Linked DNA regions of Caenorhabditis elegans. The protein of the gene in region 1 interacts with the protein of each later gene in a pairwise test. Each region holds a gene or a part of one and is shown in the gene's direction. Other genes may lie near its edges. The genes, in order: gld-1, oma-1 and sel-10.

Region 1 (4,703 bases):
AATCCGGGCATAATTTCTCTTTACCATCTTCACTTTTCATGTCATTTGTTTTCACTTTTTTTGATAATTTTTTATCATTTGGGTCTTGTTTTTCACAAAATCAAAACTTTTTCACAACTTCTTTTTCAGTAATCCCAGTTTTTCTGTACCGATGTGACCAGATATGTATAAATTTTATTGCATCCAACAATCTCACACAGTTTGATTATTTGAAAAACTGTTCTGATTCAGAAAAATGTTACATTTACACTTTGAAAACTTTTTTCTAAAATTTGAATGCTATTTAATTTTTAAACTTTAAGCATCAACGAACACAATGGCCGATATCTTCAGAAAACCAAAATCAAAAATTCAAAAAAGGAAAATTTTAGAAGACGACGACGTTGCTGCTGATGGTATTTAATTTTTAATCTGATAAAATAATTGTTTTTAAAGCAAATGATAACTTAAGAGCATAACATGCATTAAAATTTTTAATGTTCTAAATTTTTTTTTCCAGAAGAGTCGTCAAGAGTTTCCGATATTCGAGATCTTCAACGATCACGAGAAAGGAAAAATGGTCTCACAGAATTAGAATGCGCAGTTGGAATTTCAAAAGCTGCAGCTCTCGAGGATGGAATTCAAATGGCTGGTGGCGGAATGGTGATGACAAGTAAAAAGAAGGCAGCAATGGAAGCTGCAAGCATTGAACAAGGACTCCGAGAACAATTCGAGAAGGAAACAATGCTGAGAGATGAACATGAAGAATTAAGGAAATATATTGATGACGGACTTCAAGAATATACAGCTGATACTTCTAAAATTGAAAAACAGAAACAACCTTCTTCATCAGCTGCAGCTAAATTTTCATCGCTGAATGCAGAAGATCGTGATGTAGAGCTTTTGAAACAAGCTGCTGGAAAAGTGAAGGGAAATCAAAGCAAAAAGGAGACAGAATTGCTTTCAGAGCATATGCTCGCAGGAATCCCAGAAGTGGACCTGGGAATTAGCACTCGTATCACCAATATCTTGGAGACTGAAAAGAAAAAACGATTCCTTCTTCAAATATCTGCTGCTGAAGCTGCAGGTCTTCCACCACCAATTGAAGAATGTGAAGAATCAAAACCAAAATATCGAAGACGTTTCAACAACCAGCGTCGATAAATTGAGATACACAAGTGTTTTTTATTTATTTTCCTGTTTAAATAAATTCGATTCATTTTATAAAACTCTGAATTGAAAGTATTCAATTAAATTCTGAAAAGCCTCATGCAAATCAGCGCACGGCTTAATAGGCGTGGCCAATTCCTGCCGTTTCGCCACCCGTGCGCGCATTTCTGGAACTTAAAGGAACATGTTGCACCGCGACGTATGGGTCTCGCAGCGATCGCAAACAGGTATACGGTAAAAGTTTCGAAATTTAGGACTTCACCTCAAAACTTTTTAGAGTTTTATTTTTTCGATGCTTTTTGGTTGTTTTATATTTCGTTTCATCTAAAAATTTTAGAAATAATTATTTCTATTTGAATATGACCACTTTCACATTTTCCTCGAATGTTTCATTCCGAAATTCTAGTGAATATTCGTTAGATAAGCTAGATGAGCGAATCGCCGCAGAGTTTAAGCTTATGTCGTTACGTTATTGAAAAATATATTATTACTAAGTTTTCTTACAGGTTAACCATCGAAGAATGCCGTCGTGCACCACTCCAACTTACGGTGTTTCGACCCAACTAGAAAGCCAAAGCTCTGAATCGCCATCTCGTTCGTCCGTTATGACGCCAACGTCTCTGGATGGAGACAATAGTCCACGGAAGAGATTCCCCATCATCGACAATGTTCCAGCGGATCGTTGGCCGTCAACTCGGCGAGACGGATGGGTACGCGAATTTTCATTTTGTTCATCAATTACAGTAATAAAAAATTTTCAGAGCTCTGTTAGAGCGCCACCACCAGCTCGTCTGACGCTATCGACGAACAACAGACACATCATGTCCCCGATTTCGAGCGCTTACAGTCAAACACCTAATTCGCTTTTGTCGCCAGCCATGTTCAATCCAAAGAGCAGAAGTATCTTTTCCCCGACTCTTCCTGCAACTCCAATGAGTTATGGAAAATCATCGATGGACAAGAGTATGAAACAATCTCATGTCTACTTATTTTTCTGTAATTTCTTCAGGCCTGTTCTCTCCAACAGCTACAGAACCAATCGAGGTTGAGGCAACTGTCGAGTACTTGGCTGATCTGGTTAAAGAGAAGAAACATCTTACGCTCTTTCCTCATATGTTCAGCAATGTTGAACGTTTGTTGGATGATGGTACATAACCGCTCTGTGTTCCTACAAGTAATTATTTTATTTTAGAAATCGGTCGTGTCCGCGTGGCTTTGTTCCAAACTGAGTTTCCGAGAGTTGAGCTTCCTGAGCCTGCTGGAGACATGATTTCGATCACTGAGAAGATTTATGTTCCAAAGAACGAATACCCAGACGTAATTTAACGAATTTCAAGTTTTCGAACAACTAAAACATTTCAGTATAACTTCGTCGGTAGAATTCTCGGCCCACGTGGGATGACCGCCAAGCAGCTTGAGCAGGACACTGGATGCAAGATTATGGTCCGAGGAAAGGGATCAATGCGGGACAAGTCAAAGGTTTGATCTTGTTACAATTTTATCTAAAACAAAGTTTAGTTGTTGAAGGAAAGTGCTCACCGTGGAAAGGCCAATTGGGAGCATCTCGAAGACGATCTGCACGTTCTTGTGCAATGCGAAGACACTGAGAATCGTGTTCACATCAAATTGCAAGCAGCACTCGAACAGGTCAAGAAGTTGCTCATTCCGGCTGTGAGTTATATGCTTCGTAAAATCTCTACAATAACCTATTTTCAGCCCGAGGGAACTGACGAGCTGAAGAGAAAACAACTTATGGAACTTGCAATCATCAACGGTACGTATCGTCCAATGAAGTCGCCAAACCCAGCTCGTGTGATGACTGCAGTTCCTCTGCTCTCTCCAACTCCACTACGTAGTTCAGGTCCAGTTTTGATGTCGCCAACTCCTGGATCAGGACTCCCGTCAACGACATTTGGAGGATCGATCTTGGTAGAACAGTTCTTCAGTTTAAGTTTCATATTTTTAATTTCAGAGCCCCACTCTCACTGCATCCAACCTTCTCGGATCTAACGTCTTCGATTACTCGCTTCTGAGCCCGAGCATGTTTGATTCATTCAGCTCTCTTCAACTTGCAAGTGATTTGACGTTCCCGAAGTACCCAACAACCACTTCGTTTGTCAACTCATTCCCTGGTCTTTTCACTTCTGCATCTTCTTTTGCCAATCAAACAAACACCAATGTGTCCCCGAGTGGAGCAAGTCCCTCGGCTTCTTCAGTCAACAACACCTCTTTCTAAAAAGTTCACATTTATAACTCACACTCCCTTTGTTTTGTTCGTTCTCACCATTTTAGGTTACCATAGAATCATGTGCCATACATCATGTTGCCATTTTTTCCCCCTCTCATCTCCCCCATCTTTATCATGTCATCAATTGGTATCTACCATCTCACTCCTTTAGGAATAGCATACACATACAGTTAGTAATAATTATGTAATGAGATACCTAATACCATTAATTCCTTTCTGTAATTTAAACTCGCCCTGCTGCTTTCACCATATGCTCTTTGATTTTTAAGTATCTTTTCCCTTTCTTCGCAGATCTTGAAAAGATATTTTAACATCAGAGAAAAACGGCAGGTGCCCCGGTAATAACATCTTATCAGGATAACCATTTTGGAGAATACTCATTGATACTTTTATTGATGCAGCTATTCCCCTACCCATTCATACTACCTCGAATGCCAAAGCACCCCCTTTATTTTTCTGTGTTATCTTAACGCTAACCCCTGTAGAATCTTCCCGGTTTGATGTAGTCATCAAAAATTTTTCATCTTTTCTAAATTTTTAGTAACTTGAGATTTTAATTTTCTTTCCCGCTAGTTAGATATGTTCAAATCTCACATCCCCATCAAACCAGCCCCAAGTCCCCATTCTAAACCCCTACCCCTTCCCAATCTGTCCATTATAATTTTAAGCACAAGTCCAAGAGCTAATATTTTTAGCAGTCTTTCACATTGACCATTTTCTCGGTACCCTGTTTTTGAGACCAAAATTTTGAATTTTGAAATTGAAATACAGGGCGAGATAAAATAATAAAAAATAGTTTTTATTCAATTTTTCTTCCAGTTCATGTTTTAAAACGATTAAAAAGGAAACATTAGTTAGAAACATTTTCATTTCTTCAAATGTTTCACGTGAGCAGGGATTCAAACTGTTTCCAATCCGAAGAGGATTTTGATGATAATCCAAGAGTTGATGGAGTTATCGAATTACTCAGTATGTGATGTTCTGTAAAAAAAATCGCCAGTTAAAATTATCAGAACTTTTCGTATGGCCTGCAGCTGCAATTATGTTAATTTTCCTTTTACTCCTGGTGAACAATTCGGTTAACATTGAGAAACAAAAAAACGTCCGGAGGCGTCATTTAATGGTATTTGTTATCGGTTATTTTATCAGGATCGTCTAAATAATAATATTTCAGAGCACAGTTCAAAATTGGCATATGCACGATGATTTTATTGCAGGACTTAAAGGAATTAGAAAAGAGGAAGAATGTAAAAGAATGATGTTTTCTGAAAAGTGTGAATATAGTAAACCGGTGGTCAATGCGTTG
Region 2 (4,165 bases), on another chromosome or scaffold:
CTCACAGTGTTAATTTACACAATTATCTTTATTTTATCATCTTATTTGATGAAAGTTAAATTAACAAATGAAAGAAACAACGTTTGCGTGTACAGAAGGCGCGCGAGGTGAAGGCAGGCAGGCATTATTTCTCTCTTTTTTATTTGATTTTTGACACATTAAAGCTTATCTCTTAATAATAGAAAAATTGAAAACAAAAATAACATGAGAATCATTATAAAATTGTTTACATTTTTGTTTTGTTTGTTTTACAAGTGTTATCAAACCTAAAAATACTGATCACAAAATAAATAACAAGGCTATTTTTTTCGATGGATTATTTATTTATAAAAAACAGGGTAACAAGAATGTTAAGGGAGTCGATGAAAAATTTATATTAAAAAATATGTTTTCAGTTGCAATATTTGGAATCAGTTTCAATGCAATTTTCTTATTTGCATTTTACGTTTATGGATTAATAAGATTGATTCAAAAAACACCGAAGAATTATGTTGAATTTATTGGTACAGTTAAATAAATTTAATCTGAATTATTTAGAAATATGGATTTTTCAGTAATCTGCTCCATACTTATCACCATGATCCTCACCTTCAGTTTAATGTTTATTATGGCAGTTTTCCGTGCGAGACCCAAATTTTTACTACCATATATGGTTTTGAATACGATTCTGTTTTTTGCATATGCTGGTGAGCGAAGTTTTTTTTTCGGTGTGGTTTTAATCAGTTTCGCAAATATTGAGAGATTGTGAACCGGACGACCAAATTTGACAGTTTTTAATTGGAAAAAGAGAGATTACAGGAGCGGTAATCGGATCGACAATCACAGTTCCTGATGAAATTAGAGAAGAGGTTAATGGACAAGATCGGAGTTATAAAATTGTTGATATTATTTTATTAAGGTGGGATTTTGAAAAAAAAAGGAAACCTAGGGTATACTATTTTATCAATTTCAGAGTTGCATTGCTGGTATTTGGTGCATTTGAAATATTCTTCATCTATTCGTATATTTGGACGTATATTGATGTTCGAAGGTTGTACCTTTTCAATCGAAGATGAACTTGAAGTTTCTAATTGATATTTTCAACCATTCATTTTTTTTAAAGATTCCTGATTTTTCACACGGGTTTGTCGCTATAATTTTTTGATTGTAAAAAATAAATATGTTTTTTTTTAACTTAAATTAGTGCATAAATTGTTTGATTATAATAACATATCAGTTCACTACAAGCAGTTATAGGCGTGAAAACTTTTGGCCTACAGTACTCCTAAAAGACGCACATCATTTTAAATCGCACACGTGAAAACAGTGCGACCGTAGTTTATGCCCCCGCGTAATATGAAGGAACCATTTTTCAGGCTTTTCTTGAGTATTCCTTGTTTCAAATATTACTTTTCGGCCGGAAATTCTGACATATTTATATTAAAAACTTTTTTTTAAACTTTTTTATTGTGCACCGGCGCCAAAATGTGATATTTTCTCATAAATGCCATTCGTATCTGTTTTGTTCGCACTCAAGTATTGTTTTATGTAACGTGTTTTTGTTTTTCAGTAGGATCATTTGATTTTCTTTTTCAGAACTTACAGCTCGCAACATCTTCCGGAAATCGAGTATCTCCGGTGTTGATTGTTAAGCATTCCCTGCACCCGATTACTTACACTATTCACATCCACTCAACTGCATCAATATGAACGTTAACGGTGAAAACAACGAGAAGATCGATGAGTGAGTTTAACAAAATTCAAATGAAAAAGTAATTTTATGTTATTAAAGGCATCATCTCGAGAGCTCCCTCGCTGGCGTTCCAACTTTGCCCGTTTCACCACTCGATCACGCTAAGGACTTGTCTCAAACTAATCCGAATGCCCAGATTGGAGATTTGGTTACTCAAACTGCTAACTTGATTGCTATCAAAAAGCAGTTGCTTGAAGATATTGCATTGTGCGTTGGCTAATTTCCTGAATATCTTCAATTTACTACATTTCAGCAACCAACATATTCAATCGATGCAAGTTCGCGCGATTCAGAGTTTTCCCCAGAACAACCAGGTTGCACCTCCATTTCAACAGTTTGATCCTAGACGCCGCGGATTAGCCCGAATGCAGAAACCAGAATCATACAAGACTGTGATCTGCCAAGCTTGGCTCGAATCTAAGACTTGTTCTTTCGCAGACAACTGCCGGTTTGCACATGGAGAGGAGGAACTTCGTCCAACATTGTAAGAATGAAGCAAACAAATTATGTTAATTCCAATTTTTAGCGTCGAGCCGCTGCAGAACAATAAGTATAAAACGAAACTCTGTGACAAATATACGACTACAGGACTCTGCCCATACGGGAAACGGTGCCTTTTCATTCATCCCGATCATGGACCAAACGCATACATTCGCGCTGATAAACTTCTTGAAGTCAGAAGAAAACATGTATTTTTGCTCACTGTAAACATTTTCAGGTTTCTCAACGCCATGCATTGGCTGACATTCGTGATCAAATGGAGCAGCACATCATGACTAATGGTCGCATTGCAGCTCCCCCGCTTTCTGCCATTCAGCATCCTTTAGAAATGTTTGCCAGGCCATCAACTCCAGATGAGCCAGCGGCTAAATTGCCACTAGGACCAACTCCTGTTAGTACTCGTGGTCCAAGATATGAGCTACCAACGAAGGAATTGCATGACGCGGAAGGTAAAAATTGGCAGCTAGTTGCAATTAATGACCTCTGTTTTAGGTGCGATGACCTATCCACCGTCTCGCTGGCCATTGGATCCATCGATGTTTGCTCTAGACGCTTGGAATATGGCACATCGGCCAGCTAGTCCACTCGATTCGATGGTTTTGGGTTCCGCTCCAAATGCTGGCTCGTTCGGAATGCTCGGAAAGCAAAATACTCCTGGAGGAGTTTCTGGATATTCATCTGCTGGATCCACGCCTTCTCAGGATCTCAGTTCTTCGTCACTCAATGCAGCATCCGCAGCTGCCGCTGCTGCATATTTCGCAAATTCTGCTGTTGCTCAATCTCTTCTGATGAAATCTGTCGCAACTGATCCAATGATGTCATGTAACGGACCATTCTCTCCAATGCCAGGATTCGATCAATTGGCCGAAAATATGACCAAGCATCTCAATTTGTGGTGAACAACTTCTCTACATTTGTCAAATTTTTAAACACTTTCAATATTCGTGTCCCCCATACTAACTAATAATGCGTGCATTTGTGAATATAATAAGTTTTAGTCGACGTGTTCTTGTCCCATAGAAACTTGGCCCAATCGTCAAAAGCGCCCATTCCCATTTTAAATTCTCGAAATTAATATCGAATCTTGTGATGTATATTGTAATTCATCGAATCATTGAATGTATTCCAATTTTCACCGCTCGAGTTCCCGATTGCCTTCTGTCTCACTAATCCCTTCCCCAATCTCAAAATAAATTGCACCTGCCACGGATCATAATTGTGATTCTTTTTTTCTATCTTTCTTTCTTCTCAATGGCTCCGATACTGCCCGTACGTATTTTTCTTTCGTTTCTTTGTTCATTTAAAATTTTTATCCGAAATTTCCTTCTTGATCCTCATTGCAGGATGTAGTAAATTTTTTTGATCGATTCAATTTTCAAATTTATTGAAAATCAGGTTATATGTTCCAACACGAAAACTATCTAAGTACGTACCATGAAAAAGCAAAATAATATTGCAATTCAAGTTAGCTTTGTTCTCAATATGAGAACATTACGGTTTTAAAGACTTTATATGCATGCATGTTAATTAGTTTTTTCCCAACCGTTTAACCGATAATAATACATTTATTTTTTTAAATTTTAAGCTTCGCGTTCTTGACTAGGTCATAAATTGTCGATATTTATAAAACTGTTAATTGTGGGTAAGCTTGATCAATCACTTGATTAAATCAAAAGTGTCTAGGCTCTATTCAAAATATGCGCCAGTCAACACTATTTGCGCATTTTCAGTGCGTTTGCGCTTATTCTGTTGAACACTTGCTTTACAAACTCGCCCTGCCTTTTGTTGTTCTACTAAACAAGCTCTCTTTGCCGTTAATCTTCAATTTTTTCAGTTAAAATATGAGCGAAGAGCCGGCTGCAAAGCGAATGAAAAATGCCGATGAGTTCCCAAATCTCCGATCCGAAGTAGCTGGTCCCGTGAAGGAAAAGC
Region 3 (5,971 bases), on another chromosome or scaffold:
TACATTTGTTTTTCTGAAATACCCATTTTTAATAATTTGTGGGCAACATATAATAGTCTTAACAACAGACTGAACACTTTTTAATTTTAAATCAGGTATACCCACTATTTCATTTTCTAGACACCATACCGAAAACCCTAAATTTTGGCAACACGTATGATGTTGGTATTTGATTTTATCCTTAAATTTACAATTAGAGCTCATTTTTATTCTGTTTTTGTTTCTATAGTTTTGCAGTTCAAATTTTAATTATAATGTGAAAATCTTCCAAGAAAACATTTTTTCAGCTTTCCAAAATCGTTCTACAGAAATTTCCGAATTGGTCAGGTCTCTTTCAACTAATCGAATTTTTTGACATACTGGAGCTGGACTAGTATCAAAATTGCCAAATTATTTTAATTTAATTATTTTCATGTTTCGTCGTCCTTTTTTTATCGAAATGATATAGGTAGAAAGGCGTGAAAATAAAAATATATTTCACGAATTTATTGTCTGATACCAACGTCATTCTTGAATAGATTTGGATTTTATTTCAGTTTTTATTTCACTAAATAAACATATCAAAAGTGTTGGAAATTGTGGCTCCTCCTGAAGTCGAACAATCGGAATTTCCGTTTTCAGAGAATGTAGGCTATTTCAAATAATCGTATTTTTCGGTTTTGTGCAATTTCTAGCATATTGAATATATATCTTGCAAATGTGATGTGTTGCTGACAAATATGAATTTTAACTTTCGCTGATAAATATCAGTACAATTTATGAATTGAATCCTCTCAATCACATCTCAATTCTTTCATATTCGTCCCCCCGCAATACAAAGCCAATAAAGTGTGAAAAACAAAGAAATGGAGCAAATAGTGAGCTATGACTCAACTAACGTATTTCAGATGGGAATTGCAGTTTAGTCATGAATGTGTTATCATATCAGAAATAGTTCTTGACATTTGTGAAGAAATATTATACAGAAATTCCAAAGCGATTGTTTCCAATTGTGGCAGGTGTTCGTGTCTCTTTTTCTGTCAGTTTATGGTATTCATTTCCATAAAATTACCCCCTCGGTAGCCACAGATGGTCATAATTCTTTTGAATTCAGTTATGGAAATACCACATTACGTTCAGAATGTTACAGATTTTAAATCATTTTTCTTTTGTGGTTGTAAATTGAATCACTTGTTTTAAAAAACCATATTACCTATATGTATTATTTTATTCAAAAACTGAATTAATATACTCAGTTTAAAATTTCAAAACAAGAGTTTTCGTGGGATGCAGTTCGTTTTTTAAATTCCTTATTATCCTGAAATTTATAAGGATGGTTTACTTGTGCAATACGAAACAACCTTTCCGTAAAAATGATTTTGAAACAAGGTTGAACACATTTTTCTGCACCATCATGAAGGACGAGAACCCAGCTGTCATATGCAACAGCAGTGACCATCGAACACCTGCTTCTTCTGTGAAACTGATTATGTGACCGACAAGTCGGACATTTTATATTTTATTTTACACGAGAATATTTGTTGAAGTTATCTTATCAACTTTATACACTTTATATGCATAGAAAATGTTTCATCGTGTGAACATCAAGTGAACAAACGTGCGCGTCGGAAAATGCGTCAAGCGGTTATTGGCGCACTACTGGATGCCTTGACGCATATCGCGTGCAAAAAGCTTTCATCTTCTCTTCTCATTTTCTCACGAAAATCATAGTTTTATCGACTTTCCTTTTGTGTTCAAATTCTTCATTCCCAGTAGTTTTTGTCCTTTATTCATTTCCAATTCTTTTTCAGCCATATGTGGCCACGAAATGATGTACACATGGATGATGGATCGATGACACCGGAGGACCAGGAGCCTGTTACCGATAATGATATGGAATATAATGTATGTTAACATTTACAACCCTTTTCAGAATATAATTTAATTCTAATTGAAATGTTTGTCTTCAGGACAATGGAGAAGAAAGCTCGTACAGCAATGGCTCTTCTTCCAGCTACAATGCTGACAAATTATCGTCGTAAGCCTTTTTGTAGTGAATATTTATAGCAAAACGTACCAGTTCCAGACCTTTGCAACACAAACTTGATTTATCGGCTTCTCCCTCTCGAAACAACGACCTCAATCCGCGTGTCGAACATTTGATCGCATTATTCAAGGTAAACATATTGATTGATTGTCGCGATCAATCTTTCAGCGTTGCGGCTAATACACATGCAATAAATTAATATTTGAATGCGACAATAATTAGTAACATGACAAAACAATGCATTCAAGCTCCGGTGAGGGTGACCTGTGTATTATTGATTTTTCCAAACCTTGAAGAGAGCACCTCAGCCAGGCATATTCGCTCTATTTTTGCTGAAAAAAAGTGTAATTTGAATTCATTTTAGGATCTATCAAGCGCGGAACAAATGGATGCATTCACACGTCTGCTTCAGGAATCCAACATGACAAATATTCGACAGCTGCGTGCCATTATTGAACCCCATTTCCAGCGTGATTTCCTCTCCTGCCTCCCTGTCGAGGTATTTGTGTTGAAACGGAAAGAAAAATTATAAATATAACTTTTTCAGCTCGGAATGAAAATCCTTCACAATTTAACCGGATATGACCTGCTCAAAGTGGCACAGGTGTCGAAAAATTGGAAATTGATATCTGAAATTGACAAAATTTGGAAGAGTCTTGGTGTCGAAGAGTTTAAACATCATCCAGATCCCACGTAATACTTTTGAACGGGAATTATTTGAGATTAGTATTATCTTTTCAGAGACCGAGTTACTGGTGCGTGGCAAGGAACTGCAATTGCTGCTGGAGTCACTATTCCTGATCACATTCAGCCATGTGATCTTAATGTTCATCGATTTCTAAAGTTGCAGAAGTTTGGAGAGTACGTTTATTGGAAATATTATTTTTAAAGACGTTCCGATCACATTCGATTTATTTTCAGTATCTTCGAACGCGCTGCTGACAAGTCACGTTATCTTCGAGCCGATAAAATTGAAAAGAACTGGAATGCGAATCCAATTATGGGGTCAGCAGTGCTACGAGGACACGAAGATCATGTAATCACTTGTATGCAAATTCATGATGATGTCTTGGTGACTGGATCTGACGATAACACTCTTAAAGTATGGTGTATTGACAAAGGAGAGGTTATGTACACACTAGTCGGCCACACTGGAGGAGTTTGGACATCACAGATTTCTCAATGCGGAAGATATATTGTTAGCGGGTCCACTGATAGAACTGTAAAAGTTTGGAGTACTGTAGATGGTTCACTTCTTCATACACTTCAAGGACATACTTCCACTGTTCGATGCATGGCTATGGCTGGTTCCATGTAAGGCTATTCACTATGATAACTGCTTGGAAAAAGAAATTTAATACTGAAAATTTCGGGTTTCGTACAGTTGAATTCCCTAATTTGCGAGCTATATCAAATCTTGATGGAAAGTTTTTGATTTGTAGATCATTTATATCTTAAGAAAATTATTCTATCTAATTTCACAAAAAAAGTTTATGGTAATTTTTTTAAAACTTTTGTTTCAAAATAGAAAAACACGAACGTGTATTTGGTTGTTTAAGACTTTTTTAATACATTTTCTATCTTAAAAATGAGAAGAAAACGAAAAATCTCGCTGAATAACCACACTTTCAACCCATACATTTTAATTTTAATACTTTCAGACTTGTCACTGGATCACGAGATACCACTCTTCGTGTATGGGACGTAGAATCCGGACGTCACCTGGCAACTTTACATGGCCATCATGCAGCCGTTCGATGCGTTCAATTCGATGGAACAACTGTTGTTTCGGGAGGATATGATTTTACCGTTAAAATTTGGAATGCTCATACTGGGAGATGTATCCGTACTCTGACCGGTCATAACAATAGAGTTTATTCTCTTCTCGTACGTTTTTCTTATAACAAAATCCGAAAAATAATGTTTTTGTTTTCAGTTTGAAAGCGAGCGATCGATCGTGTGCTCTGGCTCTCTGGACACTTCAATTCGCGTGTGGGATTTTACACGACCGGAAGGCCAAGAATGTGTGGCTCTTTTGCAAGGACACACCTCACTTACATCCGGAATGCAACTTCGAGGCAATATTCTCGTGTCATGCAATGCAGATAGCCATGTTAGAGTAAGTATAGAGATGTAAGATTGAGAAACTTGTCATAGTTAAACATTTGTACGAGAGTCTGAATCGCTCTCCTGTTAAACAATTAGAGACCAATTCCAATTAATAAAATTGGTCCTGATGTTTCACTGCGTTTTCTGTCTCTCTGCGGCTGTTTCTACAAAAGCCAATATTCGATGGCAAACAAAGGTGTACGGATCTGAAATGATTTTCAAAAGTATGGAAAAGCACAAAAGCGTAGTAGATAAAGTAACCCTCACATTGTGAGAACATTGAAAAATTGTATTATTTTTTTAAATCATTTTTTCAGGTATGGGATATTCACGAGGGAACTTGTGTACACATGCTTTCTGGACATCGATCCGCTATCACTTCACTTCAATGGTTTGGACGAAATATGGTAGCAACGAGTAGTGACGATGGAACTGTCAAATTGTGGGATATTGAGAGAGGTTAGATCACATAAATTACAGATAGTTTTACCCATAAAAAAATTTTCCAGGTGCACTGATTCGAGATCTAGTAACTTTGGATTCTGGAGGCAATGGTGGCTGTATTTGGAGACTTTGTTCTACTTCTACGATGCTAGCGTGTGCAGTCGGATCTCGTAACAACACCGAGGAGACCAAAGTTATCCTTCTCGACTTTGATGCTGTATACCCTTAACGAATTCTCGAATCTCTGCCCCTGTACATAGAATGTTCTTGCTTAGGAACTAATATTGTACACGATGCCCTCATTTTTAAATCAACAATGCTATCATATCATGGAATATAGTCAAAAGCCAACAGTATTGAAACGTCAAATTTGAGGAAAAACGAATTTATGTGTCTATTCAACTCGTTATATCCCGGCCCGCCACTATAATTTTTCTTTTTTTTACTATTTTTTGTCAGATTCTGTCTCACACTCTTCTCTTTCTCTTTTCGATTGTTTCCCATTAAGTTATCGGGTTTGATTGATTTTATATTTTTATTCAAATGATGGGCTCACTACTCCCAGATTTTGATTTCCTTTATACAATAGTTCAGTCAGTATGTTAGTCCTTATGTGACTTCTTTTTGATCTAATGAGCTTTTTAGTCCCTGTCGGTTCCCTCTTTTTTCGCTTTCATTTTTCGTAAAAACTACTTGTCAAAATTCAAAGTTCTACCCTCGACATTGCCTTTTTTAAAATTTTTGTCTTCGTTTTATCGACTTATGCCAGACGTCATTCGATTAAGTAGGTTAATAACAATTATTTCATAATAATAAATATCGATTCGTGTCATCCGTCTATATGTGATTTTCTTTTAATATCTCTATTGGAGATTTCTCCAAATTATCCTGTAATTTTTCAGTGAGTGAATATCAGCTTTATGAAGTTTGTGTCTAAATTTTTGACCCCAACTACAATAATTAGTTTAACAACCAGAAGTCTATCAACAGCAAAAACTCCAACATACATCATGAATCAAATTGAGCCAACTACAATGAAAATTGATAATGAAGATTTTCGGCAAGTTCCGGATATTTGAAGAATCGTTTTAAGTTTAATTCTATATTTTTCAGAACTCTCTTCACACCTCAACTTTTGAAACTCCGTGATTTATTCGCCAAACGAAATTATGAGCTTCGAATTGCCGGTGGAGCTGTTCGAGATCTACTTATGAACATTCGACCGGCTGACGTTGACTTTGCCAGTACTGCAACACCGACTCAAATGAAGGTTTTAATTGTTTTCCAAATCTCAAAAAAAATATATTTTATTCAGGAAATGTTCGAAGAGGATAAAATTAGAATGCTTCATAAAAGAGGCGAAGAGCACGGAACAATCACGTGTCGCATTGA

Evidence for each region.
Region 2: the proteins of gld-1 (region 1) and oma-1 interact in a two-hybrid assay, tested with the Caenorhabditis elegans proteins (one study listed by BioGRID).
Region 3: the proteins of gld-1 (region 1) and sel-10 interact in a two-hybrid assay, tested with the Caenorhabditis elegans proteins (one study listed by BioGRID).

Annotation. Positions count from the first base shown.
Region 1 is NC_003279.8:7,694,026-7,698,728, forward strand, and holds gld-1 (Female germline-specific tumor suppressor gld-1), read left to right. Parts: upstream 1-1,655; 5' UTR 1,656-1,670; coding exon 1,671-1,859; intron 1,860-1,910; coding exon 1,911-2,112; intron 2,113-2,158; coding exon 2,159-2,296; intron 2,297-2,341; coding exon 2,342-2,466; intron 2,467-2,511; coding exon 2,512-2,628; intron 2,629-2,676; coding exon 2,677-2,820; intron 2,821-2,865; coding exon 2,866-3,078; intron 3,079-3,121; coding exon 3,122-3,385; 3' UTR 3,386-4,197; downstream 4,198-4,703. Other genes in the region: T23G11.4 (Hepatocellular carcinoma-associated antigen 59), read left to right, coding at 317-395, 500-1,143; T23G11.10 (uncharacterized protein), read left to right, coding at 4,276-4,366, 4,411-4,520, 4,572-4,703. UniProt on the Caenorhabditis elegans protein: RNA-binding protein which recognizes the 5'-UACUCAU-3' RNA consensus sequence. Binds sequences in both the 5'coding and the 3'-UTR region of rme-2 mRNA. Binds sequences in the 3'-UTR region of cye-1 mRNA. Binds to cyb-2.1, cyb-2.2 and cyb-3 mRNA.
Region 2 is NC_003282.8:8,887,401-8,891,565, forward strand, and holds oma-1 (CCCH-type zinc finger protein oma-1), read left to right. Parts: upstream 1-1,575; 5' UTR 1,576-1,685; coding exon 1,686-1,723; intron 1,724-1,771; coding exon 1,772-1,939; intron 1,940-1,985; coding exon 1,986-2,216; intron 2,217-2,258; coding exon 2,259-2,406; intron 2,407-2,450; coding exon 2,451-2,682; intron 2,683-2,725; coding exon 2,726-3,132; 3' UTR 3,133-3,599; downstream 3,600-4,165. Other genes in the region: C09G9.5 (MARVEL domain-containing protein), read left to right, coding at 396-503, 555-686, 799-898, 953-1,055; spr-2 (Suppressor of presenilin-2), read left to right, coding at 4,075-4,165. UniProt on the Caenorhabditis elegans protein: Zinc-finger RNA-binding protein that binds to 5'-UA[AU]-3' motifs in the 3'-UTR of maternal mRNAs to suppress translation in oocytes and embryos.
Region 3 is NC_003283.11:13,817,571-13,823,541, forward strand, and holds sel-10 (F-box/WD repeat-containing protein sel-10), read left to right. Parts: upstream 1-1,790; 5' UTR 1,791-1,794; coding exon 1,795-1,884; intron 1,885-1,949; coding exon 1,950-2,017; intron 2,018-2,059; coding exon 2,060-2,156; exon of another isoform or gene 2,157-2,279; intron 2,280-2,390; coding exon 2,391-2,525; intron 2,526-2,573; coding exon 2,574-2,719; intron 2,720-2,767; coding exon 2,768-2,887; intron 2,888-2,947; coding exon 2,948-3,340; intron 3,341-3,687; coding exon 3,688-3,913; intron 3,914-3,962; coding exon 3,963-4,145; intron 4,146-4,452; coding exon 4,453-4,594; intron 4,595-4,644; coding exon 4,645-4,808; 3' UTR 4,809-5,410; downstream 5,411-5,971. Other genes in the region: hpo-31 (CCA tRNA nucleotidyltransferase 1, mitochondrial), read left to right, coding at 5,590-5,639, 5,693-5,849, 5,895-5,971. UniProt on the Caenorhabditis elegans protein: Probable substrate recognition component of SCF (SKP1-CUL-F-box protein) E3 ubiquitin-protein ligase complex, which mediates the ubiquitination and subsequent proteasomal degradation of target proteins.